Linked DNA regions of Rhinolophus ferrumequinum. Each later gene encodes a partner of the first gene's protein in a complex. Links are inferred from orthologs where the notes say so. Each region holds a gene or a part of one and is shown on either strand. Other genes may lie near its edges.

What was found.
Region 2: RIPK3 (region 1) and ZBP1 share a complex: the UniProt entries of both Homo sapiens proteins name them as parts of the AIM2 PANoptosome complex. The link is inferred for Rhinolophus ferrumequinum from reciprocal best matches to the Homo sapiens genes RIPK3 and ZBP1.

Annotation. Positions count from the first base shown.
Region 1 is NC_046289.1:74,475,852-74,483,234, reverse strand, and holds the start of RIPK3 (receptor-interacting serine/threonine-protein kinase 3), read left to right. Parts: upstream 1-4,333; 5' UTR 4,334-4,372; intron 4,373-4,464; 5' UTR 4,465-4,516; coding exon 4,517-4,536; intron 4,537-4,735; coding exon 4,736-4,876; intron 4,877-4,988; coding exon 4,989-5,298; intron 5,299-5,761; coding exon 5,762-5,907; intron 5,908-6,032; coding exon 6,033-6,079; intron 6,080-6,287; coding exon 6,288-6,455; intron 6,456-6,564; coding exon 6,565-6,650; intron 6,651-6,889; coding exon 6,890-7,237; intron 7,238-7,356; coding exon 7,357-7,383. UniProt on the Homo sapiens protein: Serine/threonine-protein kinase that activates necroptosis and apoptosis, two parallel forms of cell death. Necroptosis, a programmed cell death process in response to death-inducing TNF-alpha family members, is triggered by RIPK3 following activation by ZBP1.
Region 2 is NC_046306.1:4,310,757-4,318,654, reverse strand, and holds the start of ZBP1 (Z-DNA-binding protein 1), read right to left. Parts: upstream 3,046-7,898; 5' UTR 2,805-3,045; coding exon 2,771-2,804; intron 157-2,770; coding exon 1-156.

The DNA.
Region 1 (7,383 bases):
AAATATATATATATATATATATATATATATATTTTTTTTTTATAACTATAATTATAGTTGACATTCATTATTGTTCAGCTTCAGCTTCAGGTGTACAATGCAGTGATCAGGCATCTCCATCATCCCTGAGGTGGTGTCCAGCAGATCCTTTTTTAAATCAGTGAGCCATCCCCTTTCTTTCTAGGGGTTTAATATGATGCTAATTGTTTTTGTGGTTGAACTTAGTGGAAACTGCTATTCCTTCTCGCATTTACATGTCCCATCTGGGGTAAGTTTTCTTTATCTTCTTGGTGCACAGCCACCAGAAATTTCTTTAGACTGTTAGTGGTAAACTCAGTTTTCATTTATTTAAAAATGTATTTTTATAAAACTTTTGCTCTTGAAGAAAATAACTCTTCTGGGTATATGATTCTTTGTTTACAGATTTTCCCCCTTTTTAAAAACACTTTGAATCATTTCCAGTCTCTTCTGGTTTCCAGTATGGCTGTCGAGAAGTGTGATGCCAGTTTAGTTATGTTCATTTTTAGATGGTCTATGTTTTCTCTGTAGCCTTTGAGATTGTTTCTTTGTCGTGATTGTTCTGCAGTTTCACTAAGATGTATCTAGATGTGTATTTCTTCATATTTATCCTTCTTGGTATAAATAGTGATTCTTATATTCCTGGATTCTTTCTTGCCTTTCATCAACTTTTGAAAACTATCAGCCACTTTCTCCTCAAATATTTCTTGGCTCGCATTTTTTTTCCTCTTCTCTCCTTCTGGGAATCCAATTTGCTAATTGTTGGACTGCCTCAGTCTTTGCCTCTTAATTCTTCTATCTGCTTGTCTCTCTTTCTGTATCCTGGGGAACTTCTTCAGGTCCGTTCTAGCACGCTACTTCTCTCTTCAGCTGTATCTTCTGTTTGACCAAGCATTGCAATTTTAATTTTAATAGTTATATACAAATTTTTATTTTTTGTTGTTCTATTTTTTCCCTAAATCTATCTGGGCATTTTTTTTTAATACTCTCTTATGACTTATTCACTTTTTCTACTACATCTTTTATTCTTTAAACATTTCATGATAGCTTCTTTAGATTCTTCATCTGATTATTCCAAATTCTGAAGTCCTTAAAGATCTAAAACTGTTGATTATTGTTGCTGCTGACTCTCCTTCATAGTTATTTCAATCCTTGTATATTTAGTAATTTTTTGGTGAGTTTATATTTGGGTGAATTTAATCCAGAAGACTGGATTGAGGATGCTTTCCTCTAAGGCACTCAGTTTGCTTCTGCTGGACTCCAGGGGACATTAATAATCTGGGCCACTTAAAAGTTTCAGCTTATGGTTTATTCGATCAAAGGGAAAGAGAACAGGTCGCACATGGAAACTAACACTTTTATTCATTTTAACATCTAGTGCTACAGCCTAGACAGATTTCCTTGTAGGTTCCCTCCGCAAGCAAGTAGACTTTTTTCTTTCCAGTGAGAAAAACTGACTCTTTGATGGTCCCAGCTTTTCGGGGATGAGGGTGTCTCATATTTAGCTCTTCCATCTTTCTAGGCCCTAAGGCTTATGCTCTGGTTCTCCCCTAATTTCCCATACCCTTATCCAGTCCCCAAAGCTCTAGGTTTCTAGTTAGTTGAACTCTCTGCTTACTCACTATATACCTTTTGTTTTGTATTGTCTTATTTTGTTGATTTCAGGGGATGCCCTTGGGAGATTACCTTTATTTTAAGGGAGCTCACTAAGGAACTTTTAACATATGTGTTTGTTGTGTTTTATATAGCATTTAAGTATTCTGCTATGGGAGGCTTTTAAGAACTCAGTCATACTACTGGAAAAGAATTTTTAAAACAAACAGAAATGTGATTATGTGGTACATACGAGTTGTTTTATAACCCGTTTTTTTTCCATTTGATATACGATCAACACCTGTCATATAAATAAATATAGATCAAGAGCATCCTTTTAACAGCTACATAGTCTTCCATTGAATAATTCACTCAGTCTTTTTTATTATTGGATTTTAGGGTTCTATTTTTTACTATTTTAAATAACATTTCAGTTAATATCTTTATAACTAAATTTTTGTATACATTGTGATCTTCTGTCTTCTTTAACTGTTTATAAAAGTAATATATGCTAGTATAAAATATTCAAACACTATGGAAAATGAAAATTCTCCATAATCCTTTTTGCCATCACCTTAATACCATTTGGTCTATGAGTAAAATCTCTTAATCAAACAACAGATGAGAATTAGTTAAGGCTAGACTATCCGAGAAGAAAGACCACATCCTCTGCCCCCACCCCCACAACTAAGGATAGGGAACCAGAGTGTGTACTGGTGGGCTGAAGATAAGCAAAGATAATCAGGAGCAGAGAACTGAAGGAATGACAGACACCCAAATAGACTCCAAAAGCCTGGGATAGCTGGAGTCAGGGGCACCAGGCCTCAGAAAAGTTCAGAGCTTCAAAAATCTAGGAATCAACTTTGCCTTGCCAGTGCCAGCCTAGCAGAAGCAGAGGGTCTTCTCAGGCACTCACTGCAGACTCACATCCCTGCTTCCCCTTCTTCTAAAGGGGTTTGGTTTATTTTGAGTCAGAAAGCAGGACAGGCTCTGACTGTCCCCAACCCTGTGCTTCATAGTGGGTTACCCCTGATTCTCCGGATCTTGTCCCAATCTAAAGAAATCCAACCATAGAAACACTCCTCTAACACGTTTCAAGCGGAGCCCCAATGTTGAGCCCAGAGTCTTCTACCAAAGGAGAATCACGATAGGAATGGCTGACATCTCTGATGGCTCTTAGCTCCTGACTAGACTTTTTTTGAGGACCTGCTGCACTTGCCTTTATAGTCTGTGAGATACCACCACATCTCTGTAATAAAGTCTACTTCAGATGGATTCTGTCAACCGTGCTGGTGAGAGCCCCTAACCCATAAAGAAGCCCAAGCTCCTCTTTCCTCCCAGTGAGTGTAGAGCTCCAGCAGGGATGGTCAGAGATTTAAGGAAGCCCCAGAAGTTTCGGTTGTTTATTTATTAATTCAATTCAACAAATATTTATGGGTGCCTACCATAAATAGGCTTTTAAACAGACTACAATCGAAGAGTTCCCTAAATACCTCCAAAATCGCATGGATGGACTCCACCAGAATTCATGAGTTGGAGTCTAGAGTTCCTAGCTGCTCTAAAAAACACAGTTAACTGCTGGCCACTTGTTCTCCAACCAGCACAGTCCATGGAATACCGGACAGAATAAAAAGTGCACACCAAGAGGAGACCTTCCAGTGACAGCTGGCACACGACCCGCAGGGTTGGGTCTCCCCATGAAGGACTGAGTGCCCAGGGTTAGCTGTATCTAGCTCCCACAACCTCCAGCCATGGTCAGGCCTTGCACGGGTAAAATAACCTTTGTCTACCTTAAATCCTTAAGGTTCCCTAAGCTCCTGAGTTCTAAAAGGCCCTTGTCCAGAGCATGTGCTTGTGGGGAATGTATATCAACCAAGGAATTTGCATGGAGGAATTGGCATGGGGGAGAGAGCAAGGAGGGCCTGAGGTGTTCCCACTGCACATACACCGTGTCAGCAACCCCCTGGCTGGGCCAGTCATCTTGCTGATCCTATTGCCCTGGGAGTGGGTTTTGCCCTTGACAGCAGACAAGTCACTACCAATGCCAGGGCTTGCCTCAGCAAGAGCAGCTGTCAGGAGGAACTGGGCAGGAATACAGACAGGGACCCTTCATCACACCGTCGGACGCTTTACACCTTCCTCAGCCACCTTCACCACTAGCTGAATGGTACAGCCCTGAAGCCTATGTGAAAATAGGAAAGTTTACGGTGATGATAAGAAAGCCAGGCACTGAAGTCAGTTCCTCACTGGCTTGGGCGAGGTAAACTCTCAGTGCCTCCTTCTCCTCACCCACAAAAAAGTCATAAAAGCAGTACTTATGCCCTTAGGGTCGATGTGAGAGTTATATAAACTCATATATGTACCTGGCACATGACAAGCTTTACGGGAGTGTTAGCTATAATCTTAGGGCAGTTGGGGGAGAACTGAGCCCCAGTACCGTGCAATCCTCCTCAGCACCGTCGCATCCCTAGCCCGGGCCCGGCAGGTAGTGGAGCTGGGATTGCTGTGGGAAGAGGGAGAGGCGCCGGCGGGAGAAGGGAGTTGATTATGAGTTCCTGCAAGGTGAGGACTTCTGCCGGGACACCCTAAGTGCCCAGTGACATCTAACGGGCTGTGGCATGCAGCAGGTGCTTTAGGAAATAACTAGTTAGAAAAGATAAGCACTAAGCTTCCGTTCGGCCTACCCCCCCCCCGCCCCCCCCCGCCCCTTTGGGGCGGGACTGTAGAGGCGCCTGACGGACAAGGAAGTTGTTCAGCGCTGGTAGGGAGAGAGACCCGGGAAGCGGGAAGCGGAATCGGTGAGGTGGCCTAGAGATTGACCTGTCTCCCCACCCCCAACCCTCTCTGCCACAGACTCCACTCGGAGAAGTCACTCCATCCATGTGGACTCACACCTTCCAGACTGATGTCTAGCCACGAGTTATGGTGAGTAGAGAATGGGACACACAGGATGCCCCTCCGGCTAGCTCAGGGACTGCTTTGTGCCCTGCCAAGCCTGGGGGACAGTGGGGCCCACAGGGGAGGCTGTGGATTGTACCGACCCTGCTGAGTCATGGGGGTCACAGCAGAGAACAGTGCAGACTTGAAGCCATGGCCAGCTGGTGAATGAGGTCCCCTCTCCCAGGCCCAGTGGTGCCCCAGCCCCCCTGGTGTCCATCGAGGAATTAAAGAACCCGAAGTACATTGGTGAAGGTGGGTTTGGCACAGTGTTCTGCGCACAACACAAGTCGTGGGGTATTGATGTGGCGGTCAAGATCGTGAACTCGTGAGTGCCCCAGCTGCATGCAGGCAGGCCACTGTGCCGCAGGTCCTGAATGGGGAAGGGAGGGATCTGCCCAGCAGCAGAGCAGTGACTCCAACTCTCTCCTGGAGTATAGGAAGGTGATATGCAGGGAGGTAAAGGCCATGGCAAGTCTGCGTAACCAGCATGTGCTGCTCCTGCTGGGCGTCACTGAGAAGCTGGAGTGGGACAACTTGTCTGGGCCAGCTCTGGTGACCCCATTCATGGAGAATGGTTCCCTGGTAGAGCTGCTGCAGCCCCAGTGCCCTCGGCCCTGGCCGTTCCTCTGCCGCCTGCTGCAGGAGTTGGTGCTCGGGATGTGTTACCTGCACAGCCTGAACCCTGTGCTTCTGCACCGGGACCTGAAGCTCTCCAACGTCCTGCTGGACGCAGACCTACACGTCAAGGTCAGCTCATCCGCACCCCAGCCCAGTCTCTAAACAAGGTCATGCCCCAGAGCTGCTCCAGCCCCACCCATTGGACAAAGCACCTGCTGCAGCCCTGCCTACTGAATACCCTCAGCATTTCCCTCTGCACACAGGGCTGCCCAAATGTCAAGGCCCACCCAGCAGCCTTAGCCTCTGCCATACCAAGTGATAGAGCCCTGACTGACACAGTTACTTCTACTGTGGGGCTCACCCCACTAGGCCCTCCACAAAGACCCATGGCTGACAGCCCAGGAGACTCAGCCCTTAACCCAGTCCAATGGAGAGGGGACCCAGGCCTCCAAACCAAGGACCTCACTGATCCTACCATGCCCCTAACCCTCCACACCCCCTTTACATGGCTAGGCCTGCACCTTCTCGGGGAAAGAAGGGGATGCCTGGCCCTGTCCACCCCTTTCCTTCTCCTTTGCCCTTCCCTTTGCAGCTGGCAGATTTTGGCCTGTCCACATTTCTGGGAGGCTCAAGGTCAACAGCAGGATCTGGGAAATCAGGGGGCACCCTAGCCTACTTAGCCCCAGAACTGTTGGCTGATGTAAACCGGAAGGCCTCTACGGCCAGTGATGTCTACAGGTAAGGTACCCACACCAAACACACATCCCAATTTCTGCACCTCTCTGGGCCCTTCCAGAGGGAGGTATATGGGAGAGGAGTCTTGTCAGCAGTTGGGCCAGGCCTCAGTTTTGTGTCTCCTGCAGCTTCGGGATCCTATTGTGGGAAGTGCTAGCTGGAAAAGAAGCTGAAAGTAAGGCTTTAAGCAGACTCTGGGATCCTTAACCCCAGGTGCCCTCCTCCTGAAAGTCCCCAAACCCTCTTCTTCCTGCTTACTTGCTCAGACTGTCCTATTCCCTCCTCACCTTTTCTTGGACTGCACTCCCGCCACTTTCCATGATGGAGCAGGTGGCCCCTCATACCCTGAATGCTTTGTCTTCATGTCTCCCACCGCACCCCAGTAGTGCCCCAGATATCGCTGATGCAGAAAGCCGTGTGTGAGAGGCAGAACCGGCCCCCACTGACTGAGCTGCCCCAGCCCAGCCCTGAGACTCCTGGCTTAGAAGAACTGACGCAGTTAATGCAGGACTGCTGCAGCAATGAGCCCAAGGACAGGCCTTCATTCCAAGGTGAGCTGGCCATTTAGCTGGTAGCTGGGGCAGGCCTGGATCTGTCAGCAGGGTCTTTGCCTGGGAAAGAAGTTTCGCTCACCTGCCACCCACTCTGCTTTCTCTCCAGACTGCAGACGACATACTGAGAAAGCCCTCCACATGGTACAGAATACAGGTGTAACTGGTACAGAGATGGATGTTGCAGTGTCCACAGTGAGTGCCCAACACCAACCCACACACAAAGAGCCGGGCGGAGATAGCACCAGATGGCTCCTGTGGCCCCCCAGTGACTCCCCACTGACCACTGTTCTTTATGCCTTGAACCTCATCCCCACTCTCTCCACCCCACCCCTGAATTCCCAGGCAACAGATTATGGACCAAGAGACTCTTTCCTTGGGTTTACTCTGTCTCTCCCACCTCCACACCCAGCAAGGTCCCCCTGTCCTTGCAGGTGAAGAAGTTCCTGTCTGAGCACAGGAGGTTTTCTGCCTCTGAGCCAGGCCCAGGAGGGACAGAAATGGATGGCCCTAGGGAAACCCCAGAAAGCCTTGATTCCATGGTCTCTGAGATGCTAAACCTGAATCTGGAAGGTTTGCCCAGCTCTGTTTCTGAAAAATGTATAAACCTTCCTAAGAAGATAGAGGCACAGGGAGAACAGACTCAGCATGCCCAAACAGCAAGGATGTCTTCTGATTCAACAGTCCAACCTCCCCCAAATCTGGAGACCTCACTTTTCAGAAACCAGAAGCCCAGCCCCACCTCGACTTGGCCACCAGGTGCTAGACCCCAAGGGAATCAGGTGAGACTAGGGGATGCAAATCCTGTCCCCTTGCCAGGGAAACTTTGGGATCAAGGGGTTATGCCATGGAAACAGGCCCCAGGACAGAGAGCCTGAGAGTGCTGTGCTGTTGTTTACAGGGGGCTGGGAGAGGTGGCACCAACGGG
Region 2 (7,898 bases), on another chromosome or scaffold:
TTCCGGGGCCTACGAGGGCCACCTGCGACTCTGCCTTCAGCCGGTAGATGACTTGGTTGAGTTTCTTCTTGGGCACTTGGCATTCCTTTACCAGCTGGGCAGTCTTCACAGGGGAGCCAGCCTCCCTCAGTACCCGCAGGATGCTTTGCTCAAGGTCTAGGAGAGGCGAGAGGGGCAGAGAGAGAACTGAGGGCCCCACAACGGAGCCTGGGCTGGAGGCTCGGCGGGCAGGGGAAGCTCCGTGAGAGGGATCCAGGGCAGAGGCCTGAGCACACATCTGCCAACACCACCCTCGTTCAGTGAGGGGCACATGGGCTGGTCAGAAATGACTTTGGCCAGACGGCCTGGTGGCCAGACGAGGCACCCAGGCCTTTCGCGGGTCCTCTGCCCCCTGTGAGCAATCCCTGGAGGGCAGGTGGACGCTCAGCTCTCAGGTGTCCTCAAAGGAGAGGGAAGTGGCAGGGGCAGGATGAGGAGAGTGAGGGTAGGAGAGCAGGAGGGAGGGGAGAGAGGGCAGGGCAGTGAGGCGGAGTGACCGCCTGGGAGGCATGCCTCTGTGCCCTGACCCCAGCCTCCGCCTCCCTGCAGAATCCTCCCGGGCTCCCATCCTCATATGGGTGGTGTCACATTCACCCAAGCCAGCAACCTCACAACATTCAGAAACGGATCTCTCTCTCTGATGCCTAATCACAGAGTCCTGGAAATACTGTTTCCGGCTCTCTCGAATCCCTTCTTCTCTTCTCTGCTTCCACCTCCCTATTCTGTGTCATCATCTCTACAGTGACAGCAAGTCCAACTCCAGTCAGGTTCCCTCCAGTCCTCGACTTGGCAGCCAGAACTGGCTCTGCTGACCACTCAGCCTGGTCTTTACTGCCCCCTCAACTTCCTTCCAAGTGCCAACCCATCCGGGCTCTTTTCGGCCCCACTCACCCCTGGGCCTTTTCCCATGCTGTTCCCTGTCCGGAATACGTTTCCCCACCCCTCCCCCTGTCCGATGTCTACTCACCCTGCAGGTCTCACTCAGACACCATCTCCTTTGGGAAGCTGTCCTGGATGCCCTGAGCGGGCGGGGTGTTGTACGTGTGTGTGTCCCCTACAGAATTGCCCCAAGAAGCTCCCATCAGAATTGCCTGGTTTACTGTTGTACCTTCGGTGTCTAGCGCAGTGCCGGGCACACAGTAGATTCTCAGGAAATGGCACGGGAATGAATGAGTGACTGAGTGAATGAGTGAGTGAGTGGATTCATCCACTACTGGGACAGACGTCGGCCCAGGTGACCGATAGCATGTCTGTGTTTTCCCACCTGAGATGAACGACCCTAAGCAGGATCCCTTGAGGCTCAAGGAGGAACCCTCCAAGGGCCCCTGCTCCTCCCGGGCAGGATCCCACAAACCCGGGACAGCTGCTCTGCGGGGAGTGAGAGGACAGGATCCTGTAAGATAGAGCGGCTGTGCGTGGCAGCCCAGCCTGTCATCAGTAAGTGTGTGCCCCCAAGAACCCCAAGGGTAATGCAAAGCAGGGCCCTTCTTGGGTGGATCTGGCTTGCCTTCCAGGGCGGTGGCCATATCCGACCCTTTGCTTTCTGGGGTTTTCTGGGGGGAGGGGCAACTCAGCTGCTGGCTCTACAGCTGGGCGCTGTGGCTTCCCTTTGTGGTCAGAATGCGTTTGTCCTTGCTGCGCGTAGGTGAGGTGCGCTTAGAACACCTGGGACGCCGGTCCCTTCACCCACCACATTCGGCCCTGAGCAGCCACCCCAGCCACCAGAAATCCTCGTCCAACCCACTACACATCTCGCTTTGCCTTGACTTGAAAAGAGTTTTGATTTTTTTTTTTAAGAGTTTTGATTCTTGAAAAGCCTGCCAGGGTGAGCCTCCTCCTTGCCCTCTTCCACCTTCCTGCTGGCAAAGGAGGAGTCAGGTCAGAGACGTGTATGAAGGCCATCCCCCAAGGGCGGGATCCTTCCACAAATCCCGGAGGTTGTGAAATGGAAGAAGTATAAGCAACAAGTTGGTAAGGAGAGGAAAGCCCACTGGGGAAGAAGGAAAATTCAGTTCCTAAGCACCACTGACCAGTCCCCGTGTGTCCGTCCCCCACGGGGAAGTAGGACAGGAACCTGAGCCATACCCTGCCAGCACCCCTCCCCAGCACACCCTGTTTTCCTCATTCTTGTTCTCTGATGGCTGGTTTCCTGGGTTTGAGCCCCAGCTCTGCCACCTACTAGATGTGTGAACTCTCTATGCCTCAGTTTCTCCATCTGTGAGGTGGGGATAATAGCAGCTCCTTCAAAACTTGTGGTGAGGATTAAATGAGCTAATGATAACAACACCCCACCCCCACCTCCACCCCAAACCACCCTCAGCCCACAGCCCATAAGCCCCTAGTGGTGGCCGGAGAATGCAGCAATGGTTCACCACCTGGCTGAGCACAGGGTTCACCCCTGCTGGTATCCTCCTGGGAGTGTTATCTGAGGAAGAACACAACGGGGGAAATGTGCACTTCTAATCAAAGCAATTTCTGCTCTTTCTGGAAATGAGTGTGAAGCCAGGTGCTTAGCCCTGTCGTCAGCCTGATGCTCTGAGTCCTTTCACCTCACAGGGCTTGGTGATCTCGTGGGAAATGGAAACACCTTTGTACTTACCGCTGAGGTTATTGCAAAATGCATGGCACGTGTGTTGCTATCATTGCTGCCATCTGGGACAAGCGAAGGAGCCAGAGAGAGAAGTGCCAGTCCCACCCAGATTCCCGCTGTTCCTTAGAAAGAAGAAAGTACCTGTCTCACTTGGGTCCACAGGGGCCTCGGCCATGCTGACAGCAGTTGCTGGAAATCCCGGGTGGCTTGGCAGGGGGACTGGGGGACAGCTGTAGGCTTCTGCACTGTGGCCTTGAGAGAGTGAGCCAGGTGGGGCTGGGTGTCCTCGTGTGGTGGAGCCCGGTGCTTCTGGCAGCTGTGAAGGGAGGCCAGCTCCAACCAGGCAGGTGTCAGCTCTTCACATCACGGAAACAGAAGCCTAGCCTGCCCACATTTATCAGCTTTGTGGAGGAAAAGAAAAATGAAACGGGTGTGTGTGGCTTTTGAAAGAAACAAAACCGAAAGCTGTATTGAGCAAGAGGAAGCCTCTGACTAGACTTTGGTGGGGTGAGATGAGCTTGGCAAGACTAGAGCATCCCCTGGGGCCGGGGGTTTTCCCGAACTGCCGGGTGCCCATTGATGCCCACCCTGACCCCGCCCCCCAACACACAGGCCAAGATTCCTGGGTGGGTGCCTGGAGATTGTGTGCGTATCAAAATGACAGCTGTCCTTAATGAGCAGCTACTGTGTGTTTTCCAATCTCATGTGCCCTTCTGGCTCACCTACCGAGTAAAGACTAGTACTGGCCTCTTTTCTCAGAGGGGAAACCGAGGCTTAGATTGGTGAGGTCACTTGTCCAAGGCCACAGATTCTTGGGTCCTAACCCAGCTCCCCACCCATTTACTGGCTGTGTGACCTTGGGTGAGTTATTTAACCTCTCTGTGCCCCCATTTACTCATCTGTAAAACTAGTAAAAGCAGCTACCTGAGTGAGGAGGCCGTGGTGAGGATGAAGGGGTTAATCCAGCTGAGAAATCAGAGCCACCAGTGCCATCTACAGTCATAAGCACAGTTGGCACCCACATGTTTCTGGAAAAAGGACCCATTGCTTTTCATAAATTTTCAAACGGGCCGGTGACCCTCAAGCAGTTCAGGGCCACTGTTGTCTTTCAGGTAATAGGAGGGGAAACAGGCCTATACAGAGGCCTGTGTGAGGTAGCCCAAGCGGGTGAAGAACTCAGCCTCGGAAGTCCCTGGGCTCAGAGTCCCAGTGCAGTAGCCTAGGCGGGCTCGTGGGTTTCCGCGTTCCCTCCGCGGACCCGTGGCTCAGCATTTCTGCAAAGGGAGGGCCTAGGAACAGCGATAGCAGCGAGGAAATAAATGGGTGCTGGACGCTCGTCTCCAAGCTGCCTTTGCTAAGCAAGCAGGGAAAGTCCTGATACCCAGTCCACAGCCAGACCAGTTAAATCTGAATCTCTGGCGGTTCAGGTGATGTTATCCGCCTGGCGGGTGAGGTTGGGGAAGTCTTGGTCAACACAATAAAAACAGGAAACCACAATAATGCTTTTGTATCTGTCTTATGTAAAACCGAAGAAGCGTGTATCTCCATATGAATTGACAATATTAATTTTAAATGCGAGGTAGTTGCAGGTGTTGAGGAAGACTGTGGAGCCGCCCATCCTTGGGGAGGGGGCTCCCGCTGAGCCTCCCAGTGGACTTTGGGAGGCGCCGTGCTCGGACTGGCCACCAGGTGGCGCCCACTCACCCCGGCCCACCTCTGCCTGGTCCTCTCTGGCTGAGGGGGGACCTCCCACCTATCACCCTCCCCACCCCCGGGAAACCCCGACTCCGTCTGGCCCGACACCCGGCTTCTCCCCCTTTCTCCCTGGCCGCTCCTGCTCAGGCTTCTTGCTTTGTTCCCTGCGTGCCGCTGATCTCTTTGTGTGGAAGGTGCCTGGCCTGGTGGCTTGCAGGTCAGGCTGAGGGACTCAAGCTTGATCCTGAGGGTCAGTTTGGTTTCTGGAAGTACCACTTGTGCTTCAGCAGTGAAGGCTGGCACCCTCTTGGCCATCTGGGCAGTGTTTGGAGGGTCCCTTCCTGTCCCCAGTGTCTCTCTTTCCTATCCTGAAACCACGCGGAGCGCTGGCTGTCTGAGTGGTCCTTAGGGACCTGCAGCAGGAACCACTGTGCTGGAAAGGCCAAGTACCCCGGGAGGTGCCACCTGGACAAAGATGCTGCCTCACCTTCTTCTCCAGGGCAGGTCTGATCTGAGCTGCCACCTGCTCCTCCCTAGCTGTGGGTCACTACCTCTCTGAGCCTCAGTTTCTTTCACTATAAAACTGAGATGGTAAATAAGAAAAAGCATATCTATATGACACTTAGTTGGTGCTCACAAAATTTGCGTAAGTTAGAAAATGTGACACATGTTTACAATACAACTTTAGGCCCTAGACAAAAAAAGTAAATAAATAAAAAATAAAGAGGGAGAGAAGAAAAAATACAATTTAATGTGGGTGGGTTGCCCCTCCTGGAGCATTCCACAGCTGTCTGGAATTCATGGAAGCCATGAACCTGCTGAGAGCGTCTCACCACACTGGGTGGGACCCGCGCTTTTAAAGATTTAGATTATCTTGTGTTCTCTTCTCAATTTAAGAGATTTTCAAGGTAATTTTGACTATAAGGATTGTTTTTAACCCAAATATCAGTGGCTTAAACAGTCTAGATGCTTCTTTCTTTCTCCTCTAACAGCCTGGTAGGCGGTCCAGGTTTGGCCTGGCACACCACGGGATTGAGACCCAGGCACTTCTATTTTGTTGCTCTGCCATTTATGGCCCTCACTCGCAGGTTGGCCTTATGCTCTAGGATGGCTGCTCAAGCTCCAGCCATCACATCTGCATTCCTTCCAGCAGGAGGGAGGAAAAGGGAAAAGGACAGGTATCTCCCCTTTAAGAATAGTTGCAAGTTGCACACACATTCCATTAGCTTCATGTCCCGGCAAGGGAGGCTGGGGAAGATGGTCGTTATTCTGGATCACAAGGCACCCAGCTAAAATTGGTGGTTTATTACTTAAAAAATAGGGGACAACAGATATTGGAGGAGACCTGGCTGTCCCTGCCATTGCAAGGCTCTGTTGTTCCCGCCAGAGACGGAGTGAGGACATCTTCTTTGTGCCTTTAGGTATGGTCGTTCACTGGGGCCTATGTATTGAGCAGGTCCAAGGCTGAGTTCAGAAGCACTTTCCAGGCTCTGTCCAGTGTGGAAGGCAAAAGGGGAGAGGAAGGGAGGTGAGGATGCTGGTGCCTCGTACTCCGTCTGGGAAGGAGCTCAAAGGCCACAGAGGTTCCAAGATGGCATCCCTGTTTGCTGGAGCCCACATCTCTTTTTGCTTTGGAATGCACTCTCCATTTTCATAGCTTGTGTTTTTCTGGAAACCATTAGAAGTCTCCGCCCAAACCAGATGATAATTGCACGTTACTGATCTTAAGTCTTTAAATTTCTCTCTCTCCCTTTTAAAAGAGAGATATTTTTACTGCACATTGTATTGGCAAACCGCAGTCTCCGTTCTACCAGGCAGCCTGGATGTTATTTTTGACATTTCCTCTGTGAATTCACCTCAGGGGTGGGAGTGGAAGGTCAGAAGGCACCAAATGTGGATAATAATGTGTCTTTGTCAGGGGCAAAGGTCAAAGAACCAGAGGTGGCCAGAGAGAGACAGGGTCAAGGTTGCAAGAGCCATCGGCAGAGGGGGTGAAACAGTCCAAGCGAAGGTGCTGCGTGGAAGGCAGCAGACTCCGCGGCAGCCCCAGCAGGACCTGCCTGGCGCTGTTCACCACCTTCAAGGCAGAACTCGGCCGGCCTCCATGGGTCACCGTGTCCACTAGAGTCAGACAGACCTAGGGCTCTGGTCCTGGCACCCCACCTTTAAGCTCTGTGTCTGGAGTGAGTCCCTACTCTTTCTGAGCCCAGTTTCTCCCTCTGAAAAGCTTCTTCCTCAGAACAGAACCTACACCATGGGGTTGTTGCAAAGGTTAGAAGAGATCAGGTGCCAAAGGTGCTAGCAGAGCACTGAGCATGTAGTACGTGTGCAATAAACAGGAACTAGTCTTATCATCATTATGTGGTCTCCAGCGGTGCCTCTCCGAGGTGACAGAGCAGTCCCATTTATTCATCTGGTCATTCACCAAATAATTCTTTGTGCCTTCTTTATCTCAGGGCGCAAGCTGGGGTCCGTGGACGGCAGAGGCGGGGAGCAGGGGAACGGCCCGCTCCCTGGTTCCTGGCTCCCCTTCCACTCCGGCTTCAGAAGAGGCCACACTGCCCAATCCAGGGATTGGCAGGTGGCTTAGGCTGAGTCCCCGATCCACCACCATTCCCTGTAGCTCTGGCCAGTAAAGGGGACCTGGGTGGGTGGAAGGTGAGTTGGGGAGATGGACAGGGGCCAGAGCATTGAAGGCTGTGGTAGAAACTTGAAATTTTCCCCAGGGGCAAAGGAAAGGAGGACTTTCATCCATGGAGAGATGGGGATTTGGAAAGTGACCCTGTGTGCAGGTGGCAGGTGGCAGGAGATGGTCCTGAAAGGGAGAGGGGACATGGCCAGCCCTGGGCAGTTCTCACACTCTTCCTCCCCCACCAATTCTTTTTGGAAAGCCCTTCTCCACATCCCGACAAATATATTGAAATCAATTCACATCTAACTTTTATTTTTATGATCAAATGATTTTGTGATAATTTTGTTTGCTGAATTATTTACCTACAAGAAATTCATTTAATTACAATTGACCAAACATTCTCCACTGAGTGTCCAGGATTCTTGGGAATTCTTGCAAAGTGGGACCATTTCACCTATAAATTTGTTTCAAATATAATTAAGTGTAATGAAATTTTTATGATGACTAAACGGAACAGTTAATGAACTTGACATAATATTAGGTTTTTAGACTTTTAATTAAACATTCATTGATTCTGATTTTGCAATGCTTTTTTTTCCTCCCCTATATGTTGGAACTCAAACATTTTCAAAGGCATCTGGAAGCCTGAGGTGCTAAGACTTCTATGCCCAGAAGGTAAAATGAGGAAATGAGGGCACACACCCCATAAGACACAGGAGTCCCTCAGGTTGTGGCCGGGAGTAAGTCTGGGTGGCTGTTTCAGAGCTTGGGGTAGGGGTTGGGGCAAGAGCAAAACACTTTTACATTTTCACTTGTTACTTCTTTTCATTTTAAATGGGTACCCTACTCTAAAATTCAAAGCAAGGATGTTTCCTGAAGGACGTCGTGACTGAACAGCAATTGACATTTATTTAGAGCTTACTATGGACCCTCTTTCCTGAG